Linked DNA regions of Schizosaccharomyces pombe. Changing the gene in region 1 together with any one later gene gives a genetic interaction. Each region holds a gene or a part of one and is shown on either strand. Other genes may lie near its edges.

What was found.
Region 2: mutations in gmh6 (region 1) and otg3 impair growth when combined (synthetic growth defect), as found in Schizosaccharomyces pombe (one study listed by BioGRID).
Region 3: of gmh6 (region 1) and png2, changing one enhances a phenotype caused by changing the other (phenotypic enhancement), as found in Schizosaccharomyces pombe (2 studies listed by BioGRID, with this or other methods).
Region 4: mutations in gmh6 (region 1) and otg2 impair growth when combined (synthetic growth defect), as found in Schizosaccharomyces pombe (one study listed by BioGRID).

What each region holds. Positions count from the first base shown.
Region 1 is NC_003423.3:4,405,487-4,412,194, forward strand, and holds gmh6 (alpha-1,2-galactosyltransferase), read right to left. Parts: upstream 4,221-6,708; 5' UTR 3,703-4,220; coding exon 2,575-3,702; 3' UTR 1,799-2,574; downstream 1-1,798. Other genes in the region: U5 snRNP complex subunit Spf38, read left to right, coding at 36-331; U1 snRNP-associated protein Usp109, read left to right, coding at 485-501, 541-1,621.
Region 2 is NC_003423.3:3,116,263-3,122,384, forward strand, and holds otg3 (alpha-1,3-galactosyltransferase Otg3), read right to left. Parts: upstream 4,264-6,122; 5' UTR 4,096-4,263; coding exon 2,965-4,095; 3' UTR 2,575-2,964; downstream 1-2,574. Other genes in the region: pdk1 (serine/threonine protein kinase Ppk21/Pdk1), read right to left, coding at 1-124; proteasome core particle subunit beta 1 Pre3, read left to right, coding at 1,407-1,462, 1,506-1,588, 1,641-1,773, 1,957-2,365; alpha-1,3-galactosyltransferase Otg2, read right to left, coding at 5,024-6,122.
Region 3 is NC_003423.3:1,119,005-1,124,854, forward strand, and holds png2 (chromatin modification family protein Png2), read right to left. Parts: upstream 2,958-5,850; 5' UTR 2,946-2,957; coding exon 2,894-2,945; exon of another isoform or gene 2,854-2,893; coding exon 2,782-2,853; exon of another isoform or gene 2,735-2,781; coding exon 1,941-2,734; 3' UTR 1,657-1,940; intron 1,601-1,656; 3' UTR 1,578-1,600; downstream 1-1,577. Other genes in the region: translation termination factor Rrf1, read left to right, coding at 1-291; Cu chaperone Atx1, read right to left, coding at 848-978, 1,102-1,177; GTPase-binding protein Rid1, read left to right, coding at 3,824-4,242, 4,381-4,528, 4,597-5,129, 5,179-5,281; ribosomal lysine methyltransferase Set10, read right to left, coding at 5,440-5,850.
Region 4 is NC_003423.3:3,120,271-3,126,413, forward strand, and holds otg2 (alpha-1,3-galactosyltransferase Otg2), read right to left. Parts: upstream 2,179-6,143; 5' UTR 2,135-2,178; coding exon 1,016-2,134; 3' UTR 501-1,015; downstream 1-500. Other genes in the region: alpha-1,3-galactosyltransferase Otg3, read right to left, coding at 1-87; tif306 (translation initiation factor eIF3f), read right to left, coding at 2,628-3,536; cytoskeletal protein Syp1, read right to left, coding at 3,934-6,143.

The DNA.
Region 1 (6,708 bases):
ATCAACCTTTGTACTAATGCTATTTTAATTTATAGTTCGAATATTTGATGTAAAACCTTTTGCTTCTGCTCAACGACAGTTGCAAATTTTTGAAGGAGCTATTCACGGACAGGAGCATAATTTGTTAGGTGTTGCCTGGAGTCGTAATTCACGATTCGTTGGTGCTGGTAGCTCTGATAAAAACGTATATGTTTGGTCAGCCACAGGCGATTTACGTTATGTATTACCCGGACATGAGGGTTCAGTAAATCACGTTGACTTTCATCCACATCAGGACATCATTCTTTCATGTTCCTCAGATCGAACAATATTTCTTGGGGAATTGAATTAATTTTTATTTCATGAATAATTTTTCAATAAACATTAAATACTATTAAAATTTTCTGTAGAACTTATTATTTGACGATCTTAGTTGTCAAGCCTGTTATAATTCCTATAACTACAAGTTTCTTAGATTTCGATTAATTATCAAATTATATGCGTTATGAGTACATCTTTATGGTAATGATACATCATCTAATCTTATTTCTAATTAAACAGGTTAAATAACTTAGAAGAATGGATGAATGAGGACTATATTCGAGCAATTTTTGAAAATGTTAGAAAAGTAAACTATTATGAAGATGGCGAGTCGGGAGCTATTTTAAAAACTTGCTGCATTGAATTTGAGAGTCAAGATGCTGCTAGGAATGCTTTAGAAAGGCAATCTACTCAACGATTAATATCTGGGAACCCGATCTCTTTAGATGTGGTTCCTGAATGGCAAAAACCTAGTTACTATATGCTTTTCATTAGTAACATTGATCCAGAAGTGTCTGAAAATGATATAAAATACTTGTTTCAACGTTATAACTTTATTTCTGCTCGTGTTCTACGTTGTGTTGACGGGACTTCAACTAGCATTGCTTTCATATGGTTAGCTAATGAAAGTGATATACAAAACGCGCAGGTAGAGATGCAGGGTGCCTTTTGTTTAAAAAGATCTATATTAGTTCATTCCGTCAAATCCGATAAAAATACTTACTTAAGTTCGCCTGGGTTTTATGGTACACCTCAACCACTAAATCAATTTACTGATCCAAACAATACAGCAGTTTATGTTCACCAACTCCCCGAAAATATAACGACACAAGAGCTACGATCATATTTCCTCCACTTTGGTGAGATTTTATACACTCAAGTCAATAATAATAGTGGACGCATAGTCTTTGCTCAACGATATTTTGCTGAGCAGGCAATTAACGAAATGAACAATTTCCCTTTGCATGGTGTTAGGATTCAGCTTTCTTGGGCAAGGCCCCCTTCGATGGCTCTTTTACCTTCCAAGCAATCTACGTATTGGCCGGCCCTTGCTGCTCCTGTATATCCCTCCATGAAGGATGTACCTAACAATCCCTTTACGCCGTTTTCTCCCATCAACCCGTATTATGCAAAATCCTGGAATCATACTGCTTCAGCACCTTTGCTTCCTCCAGGTTTAAAAAATGGTTCTGACTATCCTTATCTTTCTGTACCTCCCGATATTTTGAATGATAGTTATCTGGCAATGTGTGAAGCCGTAAACTCACGTTTAGATGCTGAATCAACTATGCTTTTACCCGTGCATTACTCACAAGCTTAAGAAATTAGCTGCAAGGCAATGCATCATTTGGTAAAGTAAAAGGATCTTAATCCAATATAAATTTTTATTTGTATAGCAAATACTGTGTCCTGCAAAAATAATTATTTTATAATCCATCGGACCTTTGGTCGAATATATTCTCTAAATTATTCTTGATAGCAATTGCTTATAAGTATACTCGTCGTTTATTAAAAGGTGTTTCAAATGACAAAAAACAAAATGGGGGGTTTGATATAACTTGAAATGCTAAACTAATATAACAAAATGGATTCTAGATAATATGTTTAAACCCTTATTACAATATTCTACAAGGCATTCATATTCTGTTTATCATAAATTTTGGACTGCTGAGACCTTCAAGTTAAACAATGCTTGAACGATTGAAAGTTATTTATAGAGCATCGCTCTTTCTGGCTCCGGCAGCTCTATTTGTCTCATAACGTTTAATCAATGAAACCGATAGCTGTCCTACTTGATTCAATTACCGCAATCAAAGTTCTGCTAATCTACATTCAAAACAAGTTGATCTTGGACAAAGATTCAAAAATGAATTTTGAAATTTCACGACTGATGAAATTGTCCTCGATTAGCCAGTAATTGCTTATTGAACATCCTTTTGGATATAAAATGAATCAAACTCTTTAATTAATCAATTAGGAGTGCTTATTAATTTAGTGAACATAAGCGTCGCAAGAAGATTAAGACTGAATTATCCGACTGTATCGTAAATGCAAGGTTAAGTCATAGTGAAAGCTGGGAACCATGATCATGCTAGGTCAATTGTATGCATTAATTTAAATAAATAATAACCAGTAATATAATAACACCAACCGATCGTACAGATGAATAGAGTAAATATTATATTTACAATTAGAGTTATATAGCACTGATCATTGCATAGATTAATAATAGAATAAATATAAAGCACTATAGCAAGAATAACAAGGTATTGATTAAGGTTGAGGGAAAAGGCGTTGTTCAATATATTCCTTTTCGGATGGATCGAACCAATCATGGCCTTGCTTTTCTGTGATAATCTTGCCATACTTTTCAAAATTTTGTGCACATGTCTGAAAGACAAAGCACCCAGCAAAATGAACACATAAATCACCGTCTTCATATCCCCAAGCAGGATCAGAAGAATCATATGCGTTTATTGAACGAAGAGTAACTAGCCCAACATGTTTATGCACAATGGGATGACTATATATCATATGAGAAAGGGCTTGTTGTTCGACAAATACACCATTATGTTCTTTATAAAGTGGTTCATTCCAAAAATCCAGCATCCATGTTCCTACTTCAGAATTCCTTATTAAAAAACTGCCAGCATTAATGCCATTAAAATCTTGAGCAATGATAAAATGTATATCATCAGGGTCTTGATTTTTAGGTGTTCGGAATCCTTCAGAGTCAATGCCAAATCCACTAAAATATTCGGTGTCGCGCAATAAAAGAGAATTTAGCTTTTCATGCTTCAAAATGTGATCAACCAGATTCAAATCACGATTCATAATTAAAGCATCGTGATCCAACCACCATACCCATTCAGCATCTGGATATTTTCTAATCACATTTTTAATCATGGGAATTTTAGCCCAAGGGGCAGGCTTGTCGCCAATTGAAGGTTTGTACTCATCTAAATCTAAAAATTCAAACTTAAAACCATGACGTTCTGCATAGTCGCGGCGATTTTTAATAATCGTTCTAATATAAGGATTTAAGGGTGAGGAAGGGTCATTTTGGGCATTGGAACCCATCAAAAGGACTATCTTAGAATTTTCAGGATGAGGATTAAGTGTGCTTAACTCTTGAGCTGTGGCAGTAACCGTTGGGGTTACTGTCGTAGTTTCTGTAACAAAAGACGTAGATGTAATCGTTTCGCTGACACTGGTGTGTAATGGCTCTGTGTAAACGATAGTAGTTGTTTCGTAAACTGCATTCAAAATTGAAGAATGTTCATTTAAGAAAAGTTGTACTTTCTGGTCGAGCCTAGTACCAAGGGTAGCATTCCACCATACTCCAGAAATAGCAATTATGCTGAGGATCACTGCTGGTATAACATAAGAATACCAACGCATTGTAAGTATGTAAGAGAAATTAGAATTGACCAATCCTTGGATAAATAAATATGTTCAAAGTAATGAAAAAATACCAATGATAATAAAAATGATAGCGAAGAAAAGAAAGAGCGGTGTAAATATCCTTCTTTAAAAATTGATGCAATAAAAGCTAAGATTTCTTATAAAATACTTAGCCTAAACTAAGATGTTAGATAAGTTCAGAATGTGAGAGGTAGATGTTCGTAGGCACTTCACAGCACACACATGCTCACAATAGCAGGCGAGACAATTTAAAGTACCTTTTTAATCTTATCGTTTACTAACACCAAAAAATATACCCTATTTACCCAAAGCAATAATCACCAAGTGTCCTGAAAGAGTGTATGTCAAATATAATGAACGTAGCGGTAAAGTGGAGATACAAGGTTTTATAGAGAGTGACCTATAAAAAATAAAATAAACTTTCGACCGATTCTCGTGTTACCATTCAGTTAAGTGCTTTAGAGGAAAGCTACTAAAACTTTTGATGTAGTTATAATGAAGGGAAGGAAAGCATGTACGCGTTGAAATTTAGTACATTTCAAATAAGTATATACGCTATGACTCACTATTCCTTATAATATATTAGCATAACTACACTACGTAATATGCGCTACGTTACAGTATCACTATATGCCATATGTTGGATTATCAGTTAAGATATGTTTATCAATAATTATATATAACTATCTTTATACACATGGATTCCCATTGTTAAAATATTTTAGAAAGATTATTAAATAGAGCTACATGAACTGAGGAGCGAGATTTAGTTATAAGCAGTATTAGTGACAGGTAACTATATAACCTACTTAACAGAATACCTATACTTATGGTACTTATATTATCTTCTTATTGCAATATAATAGATCACAAGGAAAACTCACTGCAGTACTATCGTTAAAACAGATACCAAAATGCATCGCTAACTTAATAAATATCGTAATGAAGCAAGAAGAATTCTCGATATATCAAACGTTTGTGATTAACGAGATTCTAAACGTTGTAAAACCTCGTTATACTTCAATTTTGATGCTTTTTCTTCTGCTGCATTGGCAAACATTTTTCTGAAGTGCTTGGATTTTTAAATTAAAATGCAAAGCGTCGCTTTCAATTTATCGGTTTCACTTTTTATTGTTGTATAATTTTTTGAGAAGAATATTAGTCTAACCTTTAGTTTGCACAATCGGAATGTAAGTATCAATAAATTAAGATTCTTTAATATATCTGTTGGAATCGTTCTTTTTTTTTTGGATGCACTACACCTTAAATTTTTAATATATATGCGATAATTGTACTCAGAAAAGCAAATGATAGCATTTTGGAATTCGCTTCAGACCTTACAGAGACTATTCAAAGTATTCTTGGAATTTAAGTTTGCAGCTTCGAAGAAAGTCGTAACTATTTTCTAGAACTGATTTTTTATTTCATGATAACGTTAAAATTTGCCCAGCAATAACTGTATTTTTGTGTACTTTACCAATAGCAATTTAGATTTTAACTAGCAAATCAAAGAAATATGGAGTTGTTGTCCTTCTCCATGCTTAATATTGCAGCCATATTTATTCTTTACTAACTCATCACCTAGCGATGTTTCGATTCCGTGTCTTTAGCTAAAAAATTGTTATGGTATAAAGATTCACGGATCGGCCGTTAAAATTATTCAATTACTTAACCAATAGAAAGGCCCCAGATTCGATTGCTATACCACTACATATTCGTTTACAATAATACAATATTACGGTTGAAGTATTTTTAAACAGCCAATCATTTTTTTTATTTTCAAAGCAATTTTGTTTAAGAGAATAAGACAGAATATTATTTCATAGTAAAAGTATATAATTATATTCTAATATACCGATATTGTAATGACGATAAATTATTTTTTAAACTAATTTATGGCATGTTGATAAAGCCAATGAAGGGACTGAGTAAATTGTATACCTCAAGCAAAAATTCGCTAAGCAAACGACAACTTCATCATAACCTGATGTTGAGTATGTTGTTGACGAGTAATCCCTTGTTTAATTTTTGTAAAACAACCGGATATCGGAAATATAGCAAAGGGATGAGAGCGATGGTACAAAAGTTGAGGTGCCACATTGGAACAATATTTAGTCATTATCCGAAATTTGTTATCCGTTTTTTAATTCCGGATGACATCTAAATGAATTGGGAGTTAATAGCCACTGACACGTACACTATAGAGTTAGTACTTGATTAAAAAAAAGTAAGAGAAATAGAGCAATCCTCAACCTTGTTAACTTTTCTTATGAGGTGTTAGCATTAATTCTTGTGTTCAGTCTTGCGCTCATGTCCGTTACTTGTGTAAAAATGTACGATATGTCGTCCCATATTAGTAAATGCCATGAATTATCATCCATCACTGATACCAAAATAAACGGTGATGATGAATTCAACAAATTCAAAATATCGTTATACACTGGTACTCATAGCTATTCTGTTTCCCTAGTGGAACATGTTATTCTCTTTCCTTCTCATATCTCTCGTAATGTGACGTCAAATTATAATATTCGTGTAACGAAACCAATCAGCAACCAGCCTTTCAATCAACCAATCACATAATACCTATATGGTCGAAAAATATGATAATATTGCTTTAAAAGTCATAATAGTTTTGGATGAGCGAGTTCAACTTTCAAGCTAGTCATTCAATTTAACGTTTTAATATAATTTACCTAATTTTTTTTAAATATAGAGAATGAATTTATGAATGAGGGGCATATGGTTGAATTTGAGATTCTATATATCGCATTCGAGATTTAGTAATATTGTAGCATTTCATTCTAGATTAACATAATAAATCACACACTAGCATGCTCTTGACTACTCTCTTACGCGGCAACGTAGATAACGTACATCAAAAATTTTACATTCGAATGGTGTTTTATTACGATTAGTTTAATATTTCGGCAAAGCAATTTGAATTTCAGTAAATGTAAAGGATTCTAGGCACTTACTATG
Region 2 (6,122 bases), 1.3 Mb from region 1:
CTGGTACTACGTTGGAAGACTGAGGTTTTACCGGATTTCTTTCACCTCTAGCCTCGAAGTAATCGGGATCCGCATAATCCGGCAATGTACTTCGGCTAATGCGTTTATGCTCCAGATCCATCATTTATAAAAGAGGTTTTCATGAAAAATGAAGTTGTGTTTGAGTTACTTTACGTTTGCTGTTCGATTCCAACTGAAACACCGTGCATTTAATTGTGGAGTTGCTGGCCTTGGAGTTGTGTTCTGTGAAGGATGTAAACACTAAGTAGAGTACCCTATTTCTCCAATCCTCGTCATTATTACATAAATTTAAAACGTAGAATATGCCATGTAAACAATAAATTAAAGGTCGAATTGTCAAAGAAAAAATGCTCATTAAGCAGCTTGATAGCCTTATCATACCCATCAAAGTCTTACATCGCATTAATGATACTTCGATATGACCTGAAGATGGTAGTACAAAAAAATTGCTTTGGGTGTTTATAGCATTAGCGAAAGCGATACAATTTGGAACGGCAATGAAAATTTTTTTAATTCAATGTTTTAAGCTCACGCTAAGCTATCCATGGCGATATTCGCTCTAAAAAGCAATAAATTGCTTGAATATGTTTGAAATAGTTTATAAATAAATATATATATGTACATATTGTTGAAATAACAGACACCTAAACAAAAGAGATTTTTAGAAAGCCAGTTGTCTTTGGGATACTGCCTTACTAAAATAAGCAAAATACACTGTAGTTAATGAAATGCTTCTTGCCTTAATTCCAAAATTAATTTGGCGATTAACAGAATTTGGAACATCCCCTATCACCTCAATATTGCTTGGAATTCTGCTTCGCTAGAAATGAAACATAACATGATACCTAATTCACAGTTTAGAAGATCCGTCGTAAGAAATTCTCGTAAATATATATACATCATTCCAGGTCGAACTTCCAATATCTTCATTTTTTGTTAAAAGATCATGGTCATATTATTTTCATTCTTCAATAGCTATGGTTTTTTTCATGTTATTTGCGTAAGTAAACCAAATATAAGCAGTCGTCAAATATTAAGAAAACAAAATCTTCAGAAACCTTTTTAGTCCCAAACTTTTAGATTCTTTCATTCTTTCCTATGTTAATTTCTAGCTGAGCACTTTCAAGTTCAATCCATGGTTATAACTCTGTAGTCGGCTGTAACTTTTGATCAAAAATTTTTAATACTATACCCTTATCTATAGTCGTTAAAGAATTTCTTAAAAAATATACGAATTCTTTCAACACTTTTTACAATTGAATAACAATTTTTTATATTCATACTGCAATTTCATATGCAGGTAGCAATGTTACCTAAATTTTGGCTGCTTCTCAATACCATACACAAGTCCCTAATCATTTTAACCTTTCACCAAACTTCTGAAAATGGCCACTACTGTGAAAGATACTATGAATGTTGACATTAATGCTATTAAAAAGGGGTATGATTGCGGGAAATTGATTTTGAAAGTTCTGACTTTGTAGAGAAATTCGTATGGGTACCACCATCACGGCGCTCCGTTATAAAGATGGCGTTATACTTGCTGCAGATTCTCGAACAACTATGGGTGTGTATTGGAATATCAGAACTTTTCGTTCTTTGATTTCTAACGTTGCTAGGTGCATATATTGCAAATCGTGTCACTGATAAGCTGACTCAGCTGACAGACAATATTTGGTGCTGTCGCAGTGGTTCTGCTGCTGATACGCAAACTGTGGCTGATCTTCTAAAATACTATCTTTCCATGTATCGGTAAGTTACCCTTGAATGAACCGAATGACTGTAAATTAAGGCTGCTTTAGCTGGTTTATCCTTTAGAATAAACTATCGACTTACTCTCAAGTCCTTATGTTTACTAGATGATTACTAAAGCCTTTTTGCATGTTTTATTTTTCATTTTATTGTTGTTAAAAAAATTATCTAACGATTATGAAGTATTCAATTTGGCCATGACCCTAGTGTTCATACAGCTGCTACTTTAGCTTCTGAAATGTGTTATCAAAACAAAAATATGCTTAGTGCAGGTTTAATTGTTGCTGGATATGATGAAAAAACTGGGGGAGATGTTTACAGTATTCCGTTAGGTGGTAGTTTGCATAAGCAACCTTTAGCTATTGGAGGAAGTGGTTCTGCTTTTATTTATGGATTTTGCGATGCTAACTTTCGCGAAAATATGACCCAAGAGGAGGCTGTTGAATTTTTAAAGAACGCTGTTGCTTTAGCCATGGAACGCGATGGCAGCAGTGGTGGTACCATTCGAATGGTCATTTTAAATAAAGATGGAATGGAGCGTAAATTTTTTGCCATTGATACTGCTAACCCTATTCCCGTATTTACTCACTAAGTACTTCACGTTTCCTTTTATTTTACGTGACTATACTGATACCCAATGCTTATGCTAGACTTGACCTTATTAATGCCTGTCTCATTATTTGTAGCTTTTGGAGTGCAAGGTCATGAAGAAAAGTTACTTTTCTGGTCAGTGAGATAAGTCTTTGTGATGATTAAAATAGAAAGATTTTTTATAGTTACAGTTAACTACCGAAGTGTAGTTATATTGTTGATAGTGAAAGAATATTATTGTTATGAGTCCTATGTAATTGTCATAAGAGTAAAAATGTTGTAAGATGCCTGCAAGCACATTTAAAATTTTGATTATCAGCTTCATACAAGAAAATTGTAATCAGCCATGTAAAATATAAAATTAGTCCGAACACCGGTAGACCCTTCTAAAGAAGAATAAAATATGATGTGTCTTTTTTTGTTTAAAATTGAATGCAGAAATTATGTGAAAAGAACAAACTTTAACGGTAAGAATATACACGGTGAGATATGTATTAAGCTCTTCAACAGGTACACCGTAGTTACAGGTCAAGGAATGGAAGTGGGACAAAAAAATAATGAAGCATGAAAACATTAAAGATAAACGCCCCCCTTCATTTTTTATTCTACAACATAGTCATGAAAAGCCAGCAACTCTCCGAACGCTTTATGCCACTCGGCAGTCAAAATTTGGGGAAACTCCGTGTTGTCATATTCCCAAAATTTACCATGAGCAGCACGAAGATAGGGTAAGTCCTCTTCGGTGACCCAAACTCCATTATATGAAAAATCGAGCCTCGTCCAGGGAAACCAACCATATTTATTATAAGCAAGATTTAATAAACTTTGTTCCATCATTCTAGCATCGTCATACATATAAGGATAACGTGCTATCTTCTTAATCCTATGCATATGAAGACTACTGGGATGAACAAGCATCAGCCCGGCATTAAAAGTTTCAGATTCTTCTGGGGGCGTCGCATGTCCAGGGTTACGATCGTCACATGCGCCAAGAAGATATGGATAGAATTCTGAGCGAGGAGCACCATAGGCATCGAAATTGTCGCTAAACTGATAATCCTCTTCATCATCTGGCTTCTTAAAGATAGGAAAGCTAAACATATCGGGTTCTGCAGGAGATTCATAAACATAGGGAGTATCAAAAATGTCATCCATGTTTTTCAATACTAGGAGATCGCTATCCAGAATGCAGACCTTATCAAACTGTGTTTGCTCAAATACACTGAGTTTTGTGAACATGTATTGATAACGATAACTGCCCATGCCAATAGACAAACCACTTTCAATTAAGTCTTCAGTTTTAATTTGATCGACCATAATTATTTCGGCCCCATCAAGTCGCAATCGTTCAATTTTCCATTCATCAACCCCTTTCATAACAAGGACATGAACGGGATATTTACTTTTCGTTTCAGGATGATGTTTCAGCTTGTATACTAGTACTCGAGTAGCATTGAAGTATACATCATGTTCTGAAGTAGGAAGGGTAAGTAAGCCCATAAATGTATACCTTTTTAAATCATCTACATTATCGTTATAATATGGGCCATGCTTATGAAGCCCAAATTCATAGGCTGCCGATGAAATTAGCGATCCAGGAAATGCGGGATCCCGATATATTTGGATCCCTAAAAGTAAACCCAAATTCAGCAAAAGAATTAGTGAAATCAAGACAAATTTTGAGCGAAGTAGAAGCCTGGTATGTAAGCGTAACCGCTTAAAGAAATTCATATTCTATAAAGCAAATTTTATCGCTTTCCGCAACTTCGTTTATAGCTATAAAATCCCCACCAGAATAATAAAAACCCTAGGATTATAACTGACTATATCTCGTTAAGACTTGCTAGGTTTAATACAATAAATATAATGTAGTTTGTATTATTGAGTTTGGTAGTGGCTGACTACAATTTAGGAGACTAAAGGTACGATGTAATGCGTACGAAGTATAGTTTTTCATGTAAAATTTTAAGATTATTTGAGTTTACAGTACTTGTTATTTGACATTAAAAGGTTTAAAAAATTTATCAATTACTTGCTATTGATATTTTCTATCCCATCTTCACTCTATCTAAAACCAAGCCTTCTTTGATATATATATTTAAAACAACTTTTAAATAGATTTGCTACCTAAAACATTTTCAAATGTCTTATTGAAATCTAAAAATGAAAAACATGCTAAGGATACGTATGCTCACTAATTAGCAATTTTTATATAAATCCGTTGGTTTTCCTTTGGTCAAAGAAAAAGCATTTATAACATGTTTGCTTACAATTTTAAAATTGATGATAGGACTAACACTTGATTCTTTACACTAATTAGGAATTTTTTAAGAAGGAGCAAAATTTCTTGAAACCATTGAACTTTCAGTGAGTTTTAAACATACGTGATCTAATTTGCATACAGAGAGGAAGCTATTTTTTTGATTATGGTTTACCTGTATCCAGAATCCCATCGATCGTGTATATGAATTTGAATAGTATAGTGGTTTTAAAAAAGGACGGAGGAAACACAAATTATTTTAGAATGACTGTAAAAATGAGATAGCCTTTCAACAGTACGTGTTGTCAGCAATACATTAAATGAAAATAACTGCTTCTTAAAAGTCAAAAGCCGCCTTATTTTTTACTTGATCACGACATGAAAATTGCTTTCATCTGTTTAATATAAATCAGCATTACGTTGTTGGTCATGATACGTTTGCATTTCTTGAAACGCATCCCACCATAGCTTGGATGTGTCTTCATCATAACCTAGACTTCCTTCTGGTTGCCAATGTTTTCCATGAACTGCTTTTAGATATGGTAAGTCATTTTTTCTAGCCCAAAGTCCGTTAAAAGTCCAATCAAGTGACTCCCATGGAAAAGCACCTGCTGAATTGTATGCAAAATTTAGCAAACTTTGCTCCATCATGTTTGCATTATCATACAATTTTGGAAACCTTGCTAATGCCATTAACCTTTTATAATGTGCCTTCAATGGCTTAAAGACGAATAGACCAGCATTAAAATAATCTTTAAAAGGAGGAGGAGTTTCATGCCACATACCTGGATCGGACACAGCAGCGAAAACGTAGGGATAAAGATCGTCTCTTGTCAGCCCGTAAGCTGCAAACTCTTCTGTAAAGCGTCTCCAAAAAATGCTGCGCCTAGGCTTGTAGAATAGGGTGGGAGGAAACAGAACAGAATCCTTACTATAGGAGAGTTGGTGAACATCAAAAACTTTGTCCATTTTTTTAATAGGCAAAATATCACTATCAAGAAAACATATTCTATCATATTCGTACATTTCGAAAACTCTCAACTTGGTAAACATCATACTCCATCGGGAATCCAGTAGGGCAATGTCATTGACATCGTCAACCACTTCATGAGCATATAGTGGATCGACTACTTTAACAATAGCTCCGTCTTCCTGCAATTGATCAAGCTTCCACTGATCAATTCCCTTCATGGCTAGCACTACAACGGGATACTTGCTTTTCGTAGGTTTAAATTTGACAAGTCGGTGAACGAGAAGCCTAGTTGAATTATAATACCAATCCTGTTGCGTATTTTCTACTTCGTTTTCCCCATTAGCGGCGCGTACAGTAAGCATAGTTACAAATGCCATCTTAGAAGAGGGCGCCAACCCTGTCAGTGTGTAAACTGACCTTTGTATTTCTGGACTATGATTGTATAGCAAAACACATTGCCAACCTAATAAAATAATGCTCAAGGTAATCAGTAAACACAGTCCTAGTCGTTTGGGATGGCGAAAA
Region 3 (5,850 bases), 3.3 Mb from region 1:
TTTGTAGCTAATAAGCTGAATGCATCAACAATTGAGGTGAAGCCACAACGAACCACTTTAGAAAGTCGGCAGCAGTTGGCCAAAGTATTAGAAGGATACGCAAAAGATAGTCGAGAACAGCTGTCTGCAATGCGAACTGAATTAAAAAAAGAGATTGCAAAAAATAAGAAAAGTAAAGCTTGGACGTCCGATGATTGTTATAAAGCAGAAGCGGAAATGCAAACAGCTTTTAAAAATGCCATCAATTTGCTTGATAGCGGTTTGAAATCAGCTTTGAAAAAGGTAATATAATCTCAATTACGCCAGATTTAATATCTCTTTGTGATGTATATTCATTTCATAGTAATTTTATAAACACGACTACATTATGTTTTCGATATACCGAACAAAATTGTTGAGTAAACTCAATTAGAGGTAGCTAAAATGAATGTGAATCTATTATTTACCGAGAAAACAGTTATTGCCTGAATTGGAGGTGCCTATGTAATGTATAAAATAAAATAAAAAAAATAAGTGAAAACTCCTAAGTCAAAAAATAGCAACAAAATGACTGAAAGTGCAGTCTGATAATAAACAATGATCACAATAAATATTACAAACGGCATGTAAAGCGGGGTTCAACTTACCAAGACAATTGAAATGAACCGGAAAACGTCTATAAGTTTATCACAATTTATTGGAGGAAAATAACACCAAAGGCTCAAGCAGTACGCTGTATCCTACAAAACAAATAGCCTCGTCTAGTCGTATATATAAATCTTAACAATAAGGCGACAACAAAAAAGTCAAGAGCATATTTTTGAGAGAACCGATCAGATATGATTAAAGTCGTAATTTTTGCCATGCTCTACTCTAGGACTTTACCGCTGCGAACTTCCTTTCCAGTTTTTTTAATCGTTTGTTCTACGAGCTCATATGGTTTGTCTGTGGTAACGATAACCTCTTGTTTTTCGACCGAAATGGATTTGTCTTCAACACCTACTCGACATTACTTAATTAGTACACAGATTCATCAACAAAATTCCTGAAAAACCATATATAACAAATACTTATATAAATGTAAATCTAAATACTTAAAAAATGACTTTTTTTAAAACGCACCCAGACGAGTTAAAACGCGATCGATGGCATTTTTGCAGCCATCACAAGCCATAGCAACGTTAAATTGGTACTTCATTATCAGATGATCAAAAATTCAACGAGATTTGGACAAGAAACTGTTAATTAACTTTTTTGTAACACAAATAAAAACAGTATTTAAAATTCAAGAAAATCCCAATTTTAAGAATTACTTTAGATGAGAAGGAGGGAAACGATAAGTTGGAAAATCCATTAGTAAAAGCATTTAGACGTAATGCAAGGAGGTATCCTTAAAAAAATAACGAGAGAGATATATTTGCTATAGATGTGTGTCAGTAATAATGCACTAAGCTATGATACACTATGTTGTGTATCACTATTTGTCATTACTTTGAATACTATTTAAATTCGCTTTTGAAACATGCATGAAGGAATTTCCATTTATTAACAAGTATGTAAGCTAACAAAACAAATTCAAAGAAAAAATTTAATAAAGTTTGCGCCTAAAATTGCTTCCTTACTTCAATGACTAGTTACTAACAAATTTCTAATAAAAATAATTATAATATTACTTACTCATACATATTGCATCCGCTTTTTGTAGATTGCAAACAAAACACACCGTAGTTTTACATATCATTAAATAGTATACCGAGATACGTAGCTGATGGTTGTATCCTTTAACGAAACCATAAAAATCGTTATAAGGGTTTTATGAGGTATAGAAATGTTGTCGTTAGTTTAATTGATTCAGTAAACAAGAGCAATGCAAGCAGTGGTAATGGATGTTTCATAACGATGTCAAACACTGAGAAATTAACAATAAAAAGAAGGTGAAAGAAAATAAAAAGGATCCCGGCTCATTGACGACTTTCAGATGATTTTGCTAACTCTTCACATTCTTTACAATACCAGATCCCCTTCGGTGGTTCTACTAGACCAACGCAAGGTAAATGGAACCATTCTCTTTTACAATTTTCGTTATCACATCCAATCATTTGTCCATAGGAAACTTGTTGACAGTAACAGTAAAGTTGCTCACCTTCACGGCTGATATCACTTGAATCTAATGTGTCGTGTTTGACAAGTGGTTCCCCATTTGTCTGTTTTAAACGAGATTCTGATCTCCGCACTGGTCGCCTCTCCGTAGATTGCGGCGCATGCTTTGTACTCGATAATGGAGGTGATGATGATTTTCTAGGAACAGCATTTTTTCGACGCTTTGTAGGGGTGTGATAAGAAGATTGCGGCGATGAAGCGTCTTCAAAGTTGTTATATGAAGACGACCGTTCCTGAGAGGAATATTGCTGGGAATGCTGGTTATTTTGATGCCGACGGGTTTCCCGTCTCCTTTCAGAAGTTTGAGGAGTCACAGTAGAATGATAATTCATTAAAGCTCGATCGTCTGGATATCCCAATCTCAATTGTTGGGGAATCTCCAATTCAACATATTCAAACCCAGCATCCAAACGGTCGATACAACTCTTGATATTATTCATTGCGTCTGTGGCCAAACAAATCTTTGAATCAGAATATGGAAGTATCTCTTTTAGTGTCTTTTGTAATCGCTCACATCTTTCTTCTCCTGACAATTCGTCATTTTTCTCGTTTTTTAGAACCACACCAATTTCCTGTATGACATTTTGACGGATATCTAAGATTTTGTTAACCACACGTTTTAAAAATATATATTTCACTTACCTCGTACTTGTGCATCGATCTCTTTCAAACTCGTGAATTTTCCACATACTGATTCAGGGACTGAAACAATGGCTGTAAAATGTTAATCAATGTGTTTATTTTCGCCTCTTACCATCTGTGAAATCATTTAAAGCTGCAAATATTTCAATTCCACTCGTCCCCATGATATTGACACTAAGCACGTTACGTTGTGCTGAGTAGGAAATGTATGTCCCACCTACTTCTCTCACTTTACTACATCCCTACGTGAAATAGCAAAATTGTATGTTTAATCTATTGATAGAAAGAAGTGATTCTATTATAAGCGACGCGTTTTAATGTACCAGAATTCTAGTATAATTTCAGCACTGCTTTGAACTGTAATTTTTAACGACATTATGTTAGTTCAGGTAATATGAGCCTTCTTGTTTAACCATACATTTCCAAATAATCAATTTATTTTAGATATCGGTTCTACTACTCAGTTAGTTGCACCTTCATTATAATAGCAAATTTTGGATGTCCGAAATATTTTTCCTTTTCACAACCTTCAGTGAATTCCAGATAATTGAGAAGTACATATTAAAATTCTTACCCAAAATAGACCGAGATTTACTATATCTTAAAGCTCAATACATTCTTATTTTTCCATTCTTCTCATTTGACTTACATACGATAGTGTATATACCAATATCAAACATTAACTCAACACGCGTAATCTCAAAATTTTGCAAGTTGGATTTACTATGTATAGCTATTAATGAAAATAATGATAGGCGTAAATAGTATGGTTTATTAAATAACGGAAGCTTTCTCTTTTTTTTTTTCGAACATTCATGTGCTATTTTCCTTCCCTAAGTCTAGGGCCATAGCTTAGTATTGTACATATTAAAAATTGGAACAACCGTTCCGCGTATTAGCCTAATTATTGAATTAATTCCCGATATTGTCCGTTTCATGTTCCTGTGGCTTGTTCCTCGGACGCGTCAGCGTGCCATTTTAATATATACCAGCCCTCCCATTTCTATGTAAATATACCACACGACTATTCCTTACACACATTATGAATTCTCTACGTTCAGTAAAACGGCTTTTAGGTGCTCGCTCTTTGAGCTCTGATGGGCTCTCTGAAAGCGTTAATTCTTCTGATCGAGAGGATAGCTTGAGCTTTCAGACTCCTTCAACCCCTTCTGAAGATGAAATGCCACAATGTTTTGAAGATTTAATCAAGCCTCAAGTTCTTTCTTCAGAGGCCTCAAAGAGTTTACTTTCCCTTAATGAAGGAATTAAAATGGAAATCGTGTCCAGTTTACAGCAAAAAGACCAGAAAAAGCGAAATAAATTAATTGCTTGGATGCGTAAAAAACCATGTTACGAGCAACCTGACGACTTTATTTCGTATATTGTAAATACAAAAATTGACTCAATCGATGAATCTATCATACACAAATTAGCTCTACTTCTCAGAAACGAGCAAGTAATGTATGTTTACATTTTGTGCAGCTACGTGAATCAAAGTGGTGATGCTTAAATTATCTTTTTTTTTGGCACTACTATTGTTTTGATTGAATGATAAATCATTCGTTTATTTTGAGGTTTTTCATACTAACTGCAATACAGATGGGTAGAGAAGTTTATACACAACGGCGGTTTCGGTGTAGTATTTTGTACAATCGACAAAATCTCTCGCCTTGAATGGAGAGAGGAACTGCACGATTCTATACTGGAGCAACTTTTACTTTGCGTTAAAGCCATGTGCACTGTTCAGGTATGCATGTGATATACATTTAGACCTATGTCTTCATTGCCTTTGACAATTGCTAACGTTTTTCCTAGCGCGGATTGGAATGTTTATCTCAATCCACTTATAATGTCGAGCGATTGATTTCCCTTTTGCTTTCAAAGAAACAGCCATGTGATTTTGTCGTAAGGGAAGTACTCGTTCAAATAGTTCACTCCTTTTACAAAGCTCATCTCGACAAAGAAGAAGGTGCAATGCAAGTTTTTTCCTTGTTTTCTATTAAAGACGATAAGGATGAAGAGGTTGAATTCTTAAAAAACGTTCGAGTTGATCGACCTTTTCGCCGTTGGATTATCGAACTTGAAGATGTTAGCCGTAATGTCTTCTGGGTGTGGAACCACGATTCTAATGTCATTGATTTGGAGAAACAATATAATCAAGTGTACGAGGCTCCATTGGGGTTTATTGGTGGTATAGAAACCGAAGCCACCAGCTATGTTGCAGCTCACATCCATCTTATTAATGAATTACTCGAAGGCTTACCTTTAGAGAAACGTCAAAGAAAACGTTTGGAACTCCAGCTAAGTGGATTAGAAAGAATCATGGGGTTACGGTTTCGAAAGAGCAGGTAAGCAATTTTTTTCAATATTTATATAAGCAGGCACTTACAAATCTAGTCAAAAATTCCATAAGAAGCTACATGAAGCCCTTCGTGAATGGATAGTGGCTGCTAAAATTGATGATTGGCCATACAAACTTGTGCAAACTGGATCAACCTAACTTTACCCTAATTTTCTATGCACTACAATCATCCTATGTATATAAAAGACACTAAACACCTTAATCATTTATCAAAATACGTCTTGTCATCTACTTTACCTAACCCAATATTGGAATACTCATCGTACATTATATATTAATCGCTTAATTTTTATTTATCAATTATGGGCAATAATAAAGGTAAATCCAGAAAAGTCGAGACTTTCGTCATTTACCAATTGCAATGCCCAAGAAACATTTTCTTTATTAAAATGCTTGGATTCCCCAAATACGTTTGTAAATTGTTGAAAAAACATTTCATCCAAGATTTCAAAGACTTCAACACCTTCTGGATTAGCAACGGCTGGATACCCTTCCACAAGCATACTAATTGAGAAAGGTAATTTTTCAGAAATAGATAAACAATATACACAAATCAATATCATTAAAATATCCTGCTCATCTGTAGCGACCAATGCTTCAGCATCGGTTGAACCATAGAGACTCTCAATGGCATGCGAAAGTGGTGCAAACAAAGGATGTTGCAAGAGGAAAATAGATATCGAATTAAGGATGAGATATTGCAAAAG
Region 4 (6,143 bases), 1.3 Mb from region 1:
ATTCAGCAAAAGAATTAGTGAAATCAAGACAAATTTTGAGCGAAGTAGAAGCCTGGTATGTAAGCGTAACCGCTTAAAGAAATTCATATTCTATAAAGCAAATTTTATCGCTTTCCGCAACTTCGTTTATAGCTATAAAATCCCCACCAGAATAATAAAAACCCTAGGATTATAACTGACTATATCTCGTTAAGACTTGCTAGGTTTAATACAATAAATATAATGTAGTTTGTATTATTGAGTTTGGTAGTGGCTGACTACAATTTAGGAGACTAAAGGTACGATGTAATGCGTACGAAGTATAGTTTTTCATGTAAAATTTTAAGATTATTTGAGTTTACAGTACTTGTTATTTGACATTAAAAGGTTTAAAAAATTTATCAATTACTTGCTATTGATATTTTCTATCCCATCTTCACTCTATCTAAAACCAAGCCTTCTTTGATATATATATTTAAAACAACTTTTAAATAGATTTGCTACCTAAAACATTTTCAAATGTCTTATTGAAATCTAAAAATGAAAAACATGCTAAGGATACGTATGCTCACTAATTAGCAATTTTTATATAAATCCGTTGGTTTTCCTTTGGTCAAAGAAAAAGCATTTATAACATGTTTGCTTACAATTTTAAAATTGATGATAGGACTAACACTTGATTCTTTACACTAATTAGGAATTTTTTAAGAAGGAGCAAAATTTCTTGAAACCATTGAACTTTCAGTGAGTTTTAAACATACGTGATCTAATTTGCATACAGAGAGGAAGCTATTTTTTTGATTATGGTTTACCTGTATCCAGAATCCCATCGATCGTGTATATGAATTTGAATAGTATAGTGGTTTTAAAAAAGGACGGAGGAAACACAAATTATTTTAGAATGACTGTAAAAATGAGATAGCCTTTCAACAGTACGTGTTGTCAGCAATACATTAAATGAAAATAACTGCTTCTTAAAAGTCAAAAGCCGCCTTATTTTTTACTTGATCACGACATGAAAATTGCTTTCATCTGTTTAATATAAATCAGCATTACGTTGTTGGTCATGATACGTTTGCATTTCTTGAAACGCATCCCACCATAGCTTGGATGTGTCTTCATCATAACCTAGACTTCCTTCTGGTTGCCAATGTTTTCCATGAACTGCTTTTAGATATGGTAAGTCATTTTTTCTAGCCCAAAGTCCGTTAAAAGTCCAATCAAGTGACTCCCATGGAAAAGCACCTGCTGAATTGTATGCAAAATTTAGCAAACTTTGCTCCATCATGTTTGCATTATCATACAATTTTGGAAACCTTGCTAATGCCATTAACCTTTTATAATGTGCCTTCAATGGCTTAAAGACGAATAGACCAGCATTAAAATAATCTTTAAAAGGAGGAGGAGTTTCATGCCACATACCTGGATCGGACACAGCAGCGAAAACGTAGGGATAAAGATCGTCTCTTGTCAGCCCGTAAGCTGCAAACTCTTCTGTAAAGCGTCTCCAAAAAATGCTGCGCCTAGGCTTGTAGAATAGGGTGGGAGGAAACAGAACAGAATCCTTACTATAGGAGAGTTGGTGAACATCAAAAACTTTGTCCATTTTTTTAATAGGCAAAATATCACTATCAAGAAAACATATTCTATCATATTCGTACATTTCGAAAACTCTCAACTTGGTAAACATCATACTCCATCGGGAATCCAGTAGGGCAATGTCATTGACATCGTCAACCACTTCATGAGCATATAGTGGATCGACTACTTTAACAATAGCTCCGTCTTCCTGCAATTGATCAAGCTTCCACTGATCAATTCCCTTCATGGCTAGCACTACAACGGGATACTTGCTTTTCGTAGGTTTAAATTTGACAAGTCGGTGAACGAGAAGCCTAGTTGAATTATAATACCAATCCTGTTGCGTATTTTCTACTTCGTTTTCCCCATTAGCGGCGCGTACAGTAAGCATAGTTACAAATGCCATCTTAGAAGAGGGCGCCAACCCTGTCAGTGTGTAAACTGACCTTTGTATTTCTGGACTATGATTGTATAGCAAAACACATTGCCAACCTAATAAAATAATGCTCAAGGTAATCAGTAAACACAGTCCTAGTCGTTTGGGATGGCGAAAAGCACTAAAATATAAACGCATTTTAATGGCAATTGATTGCCAAATTATAAAATGGTGGTGCTTTCGGAGAGAATTACTCTACATACTCCCTTAATGTTTGTTGGTGCATCATACACATTTTGCTTACTTTCAATACCAAAACAAACTCAACACCCTGAAAAACAAATAACATAATTAAATCGACTTTATAACGTAAAAACATCAAATGTTTAAAAATTAAACAAGCTTACTATTTTAACTATAAGAAATGTTAAGATACATGACTCTGACTTAAAATTTTCTCTTATTTAATAAGACGTTTAACCTAAACCAATTATAGTATAATACTAAATAGTTACCGACAAGCTAAGCTACTCAAACTATGTCGAAATGGGTGAATGACGAGATAAAGACAGTTGCTTCCACTGAGGGTTAACAGCCAGTGTGAAAAAAGGATAAAATAACGGTGACTTGAAAAAAGGGCTATCGAACAACTGTTAGAAATTGTCCGGATTTTTTAGGTTATAACAATTGCTTAGGGAAGCAAATTAAGACGGGAAGCAATATCCACTTGAGTACGTAAGGTATTTGCGAGATAAACTACAACCAAAACATCTTGAAGATGTGATGAAAAAATTTTTTCAAAATCTTGGCCTTCTACGCAAGGAATTAAACTAAAGCACTTCATCAAATATCTACCGACAGCAACATTAGCAGGCGAAGAACCATCAATTACGTTTTGCACATAATCGGAAACTCTTTCAATCATAGATAAAAGCTCCAAGGTTGATCTTCGAAGTTGCTGGAGATCTGTGAATAGGCTAGCAAGTCTAGATGGGTCATTCTTAGGAGCAGCTACAGCTTTCAAACCAGAACGGACTGCCTCGTCATCACGAATGGTAAAAGGGGTAGGGACGAATGCACAGCTGTCAGCAAGGCGCTCTGTAATACCTACTGGTGAAGAAACGTAAGTCTTGATGGCAAGGGGACTGCTAACATCTGTGTTGACAGTAAGGTGAACACAGGGATGAGGATACGTTCCTAGTGGAGCAGTTCCGGGTTCAGCAGGAGAAGCATATAAATTTTGAATCAGTGCACTGAAAGCATCTAAATCAGGAGAAGTAGCATACCAACCAACGACAACTTCACGAGGGTTAGCCTTGAGGTGTAAATGGTACATCGCACGATGATATTCCATTTCAACTTCTACCTGCTCACTGCTCTCATTATGAGGAACTGCAAAACAACTTTTAATCTCAATTTCTCGGCCATCTTCAGAACGTGTTCCCAAAAGTGTACCGATAACACGTTGATTATTTTCACTTTTCCGGGTTGAATGGTCAAGGATAGAAAAAAGCACTGCTGGTTCAATGACAATGTTCAAAGGACTTGACCTGGAAGACGGTTTTGTGAGATGGAGTACGTGCTTAGTCCCCAAAGCCATTTTTTAAAATTTTCACGTTGTTGGCTACTCTCAGGTAGGTAGATCTGGTATTGTTCCCCAATCAATAATAATTTTACTGTACTAGTTTACAGTCTCATAGAATTCGTTAAATTGAAGACACTATTTTTCGCCTAACTTCTAAGGTTTACCATTTAAGAAAGTGTATTTTCAGTTGCGTTGAATAATCTAAAAAATCTCCTTAACAATGTCTCATTTGTACGTACAATAATGAGAAACTCTTTATTCAAAATTCTATAACTATTTACATTTGTACATTCTCTGGTTAAAAATCATTTATATATATATACAATGTTCAAAAAATTCGGTTAGCAAAAAAGTGTAAACATAAAACCCAAAAAAGCAGTTTGCTTTTTCTTGACTAATAATGAACAGTAATTTAACTCATATCAGCAAAAACAGAGCACTCACGAACATGAATACCATAGGAAGTAGGAACCTTCGTTTCTTCATAAGCACTTTCTAGCTGAGAACCTCCACTAGAAGAAGTAGTATCAAACATATCTGGTTTCAAAAACAATTTGGTGAGACCAGGGTTATTAGAGGAATCAACCATGCGAATACGGAACTCGATAACTGGCTTTCTAATAGCAGCACTAGGACTAATCGCAAACTTGGCTAAAATTTTAAATCCAGACGAAGATATATTAATGTTCGAAAGATGTAGCTTAAGTTTACTAGTTTTCCTGCTAAATTCTCCGGCCGGAGAACTTTGACAGCTTTTTACAAGGACATTTTCCCCCAAGTAAACGATGATAACAAGTTTTTCAATATGAAGAGATGAGCCTAAGTTCCTCCACACAGGATTAGGCTTCACAAATGCAATCATACTACTACTGCTTTCATCATGCTTCCATTTCTGAACAACTGTCAATGGAATGCAACTAGCACCGTTAATACTATCAAGATGTAGATTAAAATCAGTGACTTTGATTGGTGAGAGAAGTAGCTCTGGTATTAAAGAAAGTGTGTTTTCTGAGGGTCCATATTTTACTGCATGGTCATTTAAATGAGTAAAAGACATAGGAAATTCAGACGCAACGCGAACACCCATTTCAGGAGGAGGGGTATTAAAATCCGAGGTATATTTCATGAATATATGACCGGAACAGGAAGGATGAAGAAGGCCATCTTCAGATAATTCACCAGAATACTTTTCGACGATTGAAGCAGAAAGCCCGGAAGAATTTGGGAACTCAGGGTGCCATGTTGCAGTCGAGTCTGGTCCCGATTGTAATGATAAAGTAGACAAATTGGGCAAGCTACCGAGGTTTGATTCCATATAGTCAGACGATGCTGTAGCATAACGATCCATTGTCCCAGCACGACGGGTCCTTCTTGATATAGTGGGATTCTTTCGTAAAGTATTTGCTACCCTTTCAATTGCAGCATTGCTATCCTCGTTTTCAGTAGGCGCAGGGGAAGCCACCGCTGATGTGGGAGACGTTGTTGTTGATCGTGATTGCATGTTGTTAAAGTTCCCACCAAAATCATTGCCATGCATCATGATAGGATTCGAATGTGATGCATTCTCTCTATCGATCGATGAAGGGGTATTTCTTGAGGCTTCAGAGTGCACAGAATTGGGTTTATTAAAGGGGGAAGCCTTGGAGGAAATCTTAGGCGTAACCGTTTCTGCTTGAACATTAGGCTGCACAGGTAGCGGAGCCTCCAAAAAGGATGAGCGAACATTGTTTGCACGAATAGTGGCATCGTTGTCCTCGCCCTCGTCGGAAGTTTCATTAAAGTTTTGATAAGACGAAGCGTTATTATTAGTAGAGGGATGATCCCGAATTTGTGAAGAATGATTGGAATCATAATGTCTTCGTTCGATTGAACTATCATCTATATTCGATGGGTGTTCTTCAGCAGACGAAATACTCGAAGCTTTGGAGTTCTTATTAAAAAAAGCAGTTAATTTATTAGGGCGACCATTAGATTTATGCGAAGGCTTCTTATCCTTTTTAGGCATTATGGTTTTCCGACGAAACAACGTGGACATTTTGTTCTTCAATTTACCACCAGATTCATTTTCTCCATGACTCTTTTCCTCTTTAGATTTTCCATTGTTTATGTGAAAGCCCGATGACTTAGATGGTTTATTAGCAGATGCGGAAGACATAACTTTCGATGTGGAGTTCATGAATTGACGGATTTCACCTTCAATAGGTAGATCAGAATAAACTGCCATAGATTTAGAAAAAAATTCTTGCTGTTTAAGAGCCGTATCAGTTTCCAAACTTGCAATTGTCAGGTAAACTTGTTTCAATATAAGGAGGCGTTCCTCGTCAACAATTTGCAATTTTTCAAACGCTAAAGGAGCATCGGAATCCCAGGTTGCACGAGAAGCAGTGAGATCATTCTGACTCTTAGTATCCGCATCACGGCCTTTTTTTTTTAATCCCTTCAGACCAGGTACAGAAGACGATGCCATCTCCTCTGCAACTGTTGATAACCGCTCTGCTAAACGTCTAAGCGTAGCCGTTTGTGGTGAAGAAGTATAATAATCTATCAAAGGTTTATAAACTTGCGAAGCTATTTGTCCAATGATTTGACTGTGATATCTTGAAATTTCAAGGGTTTCTCCCT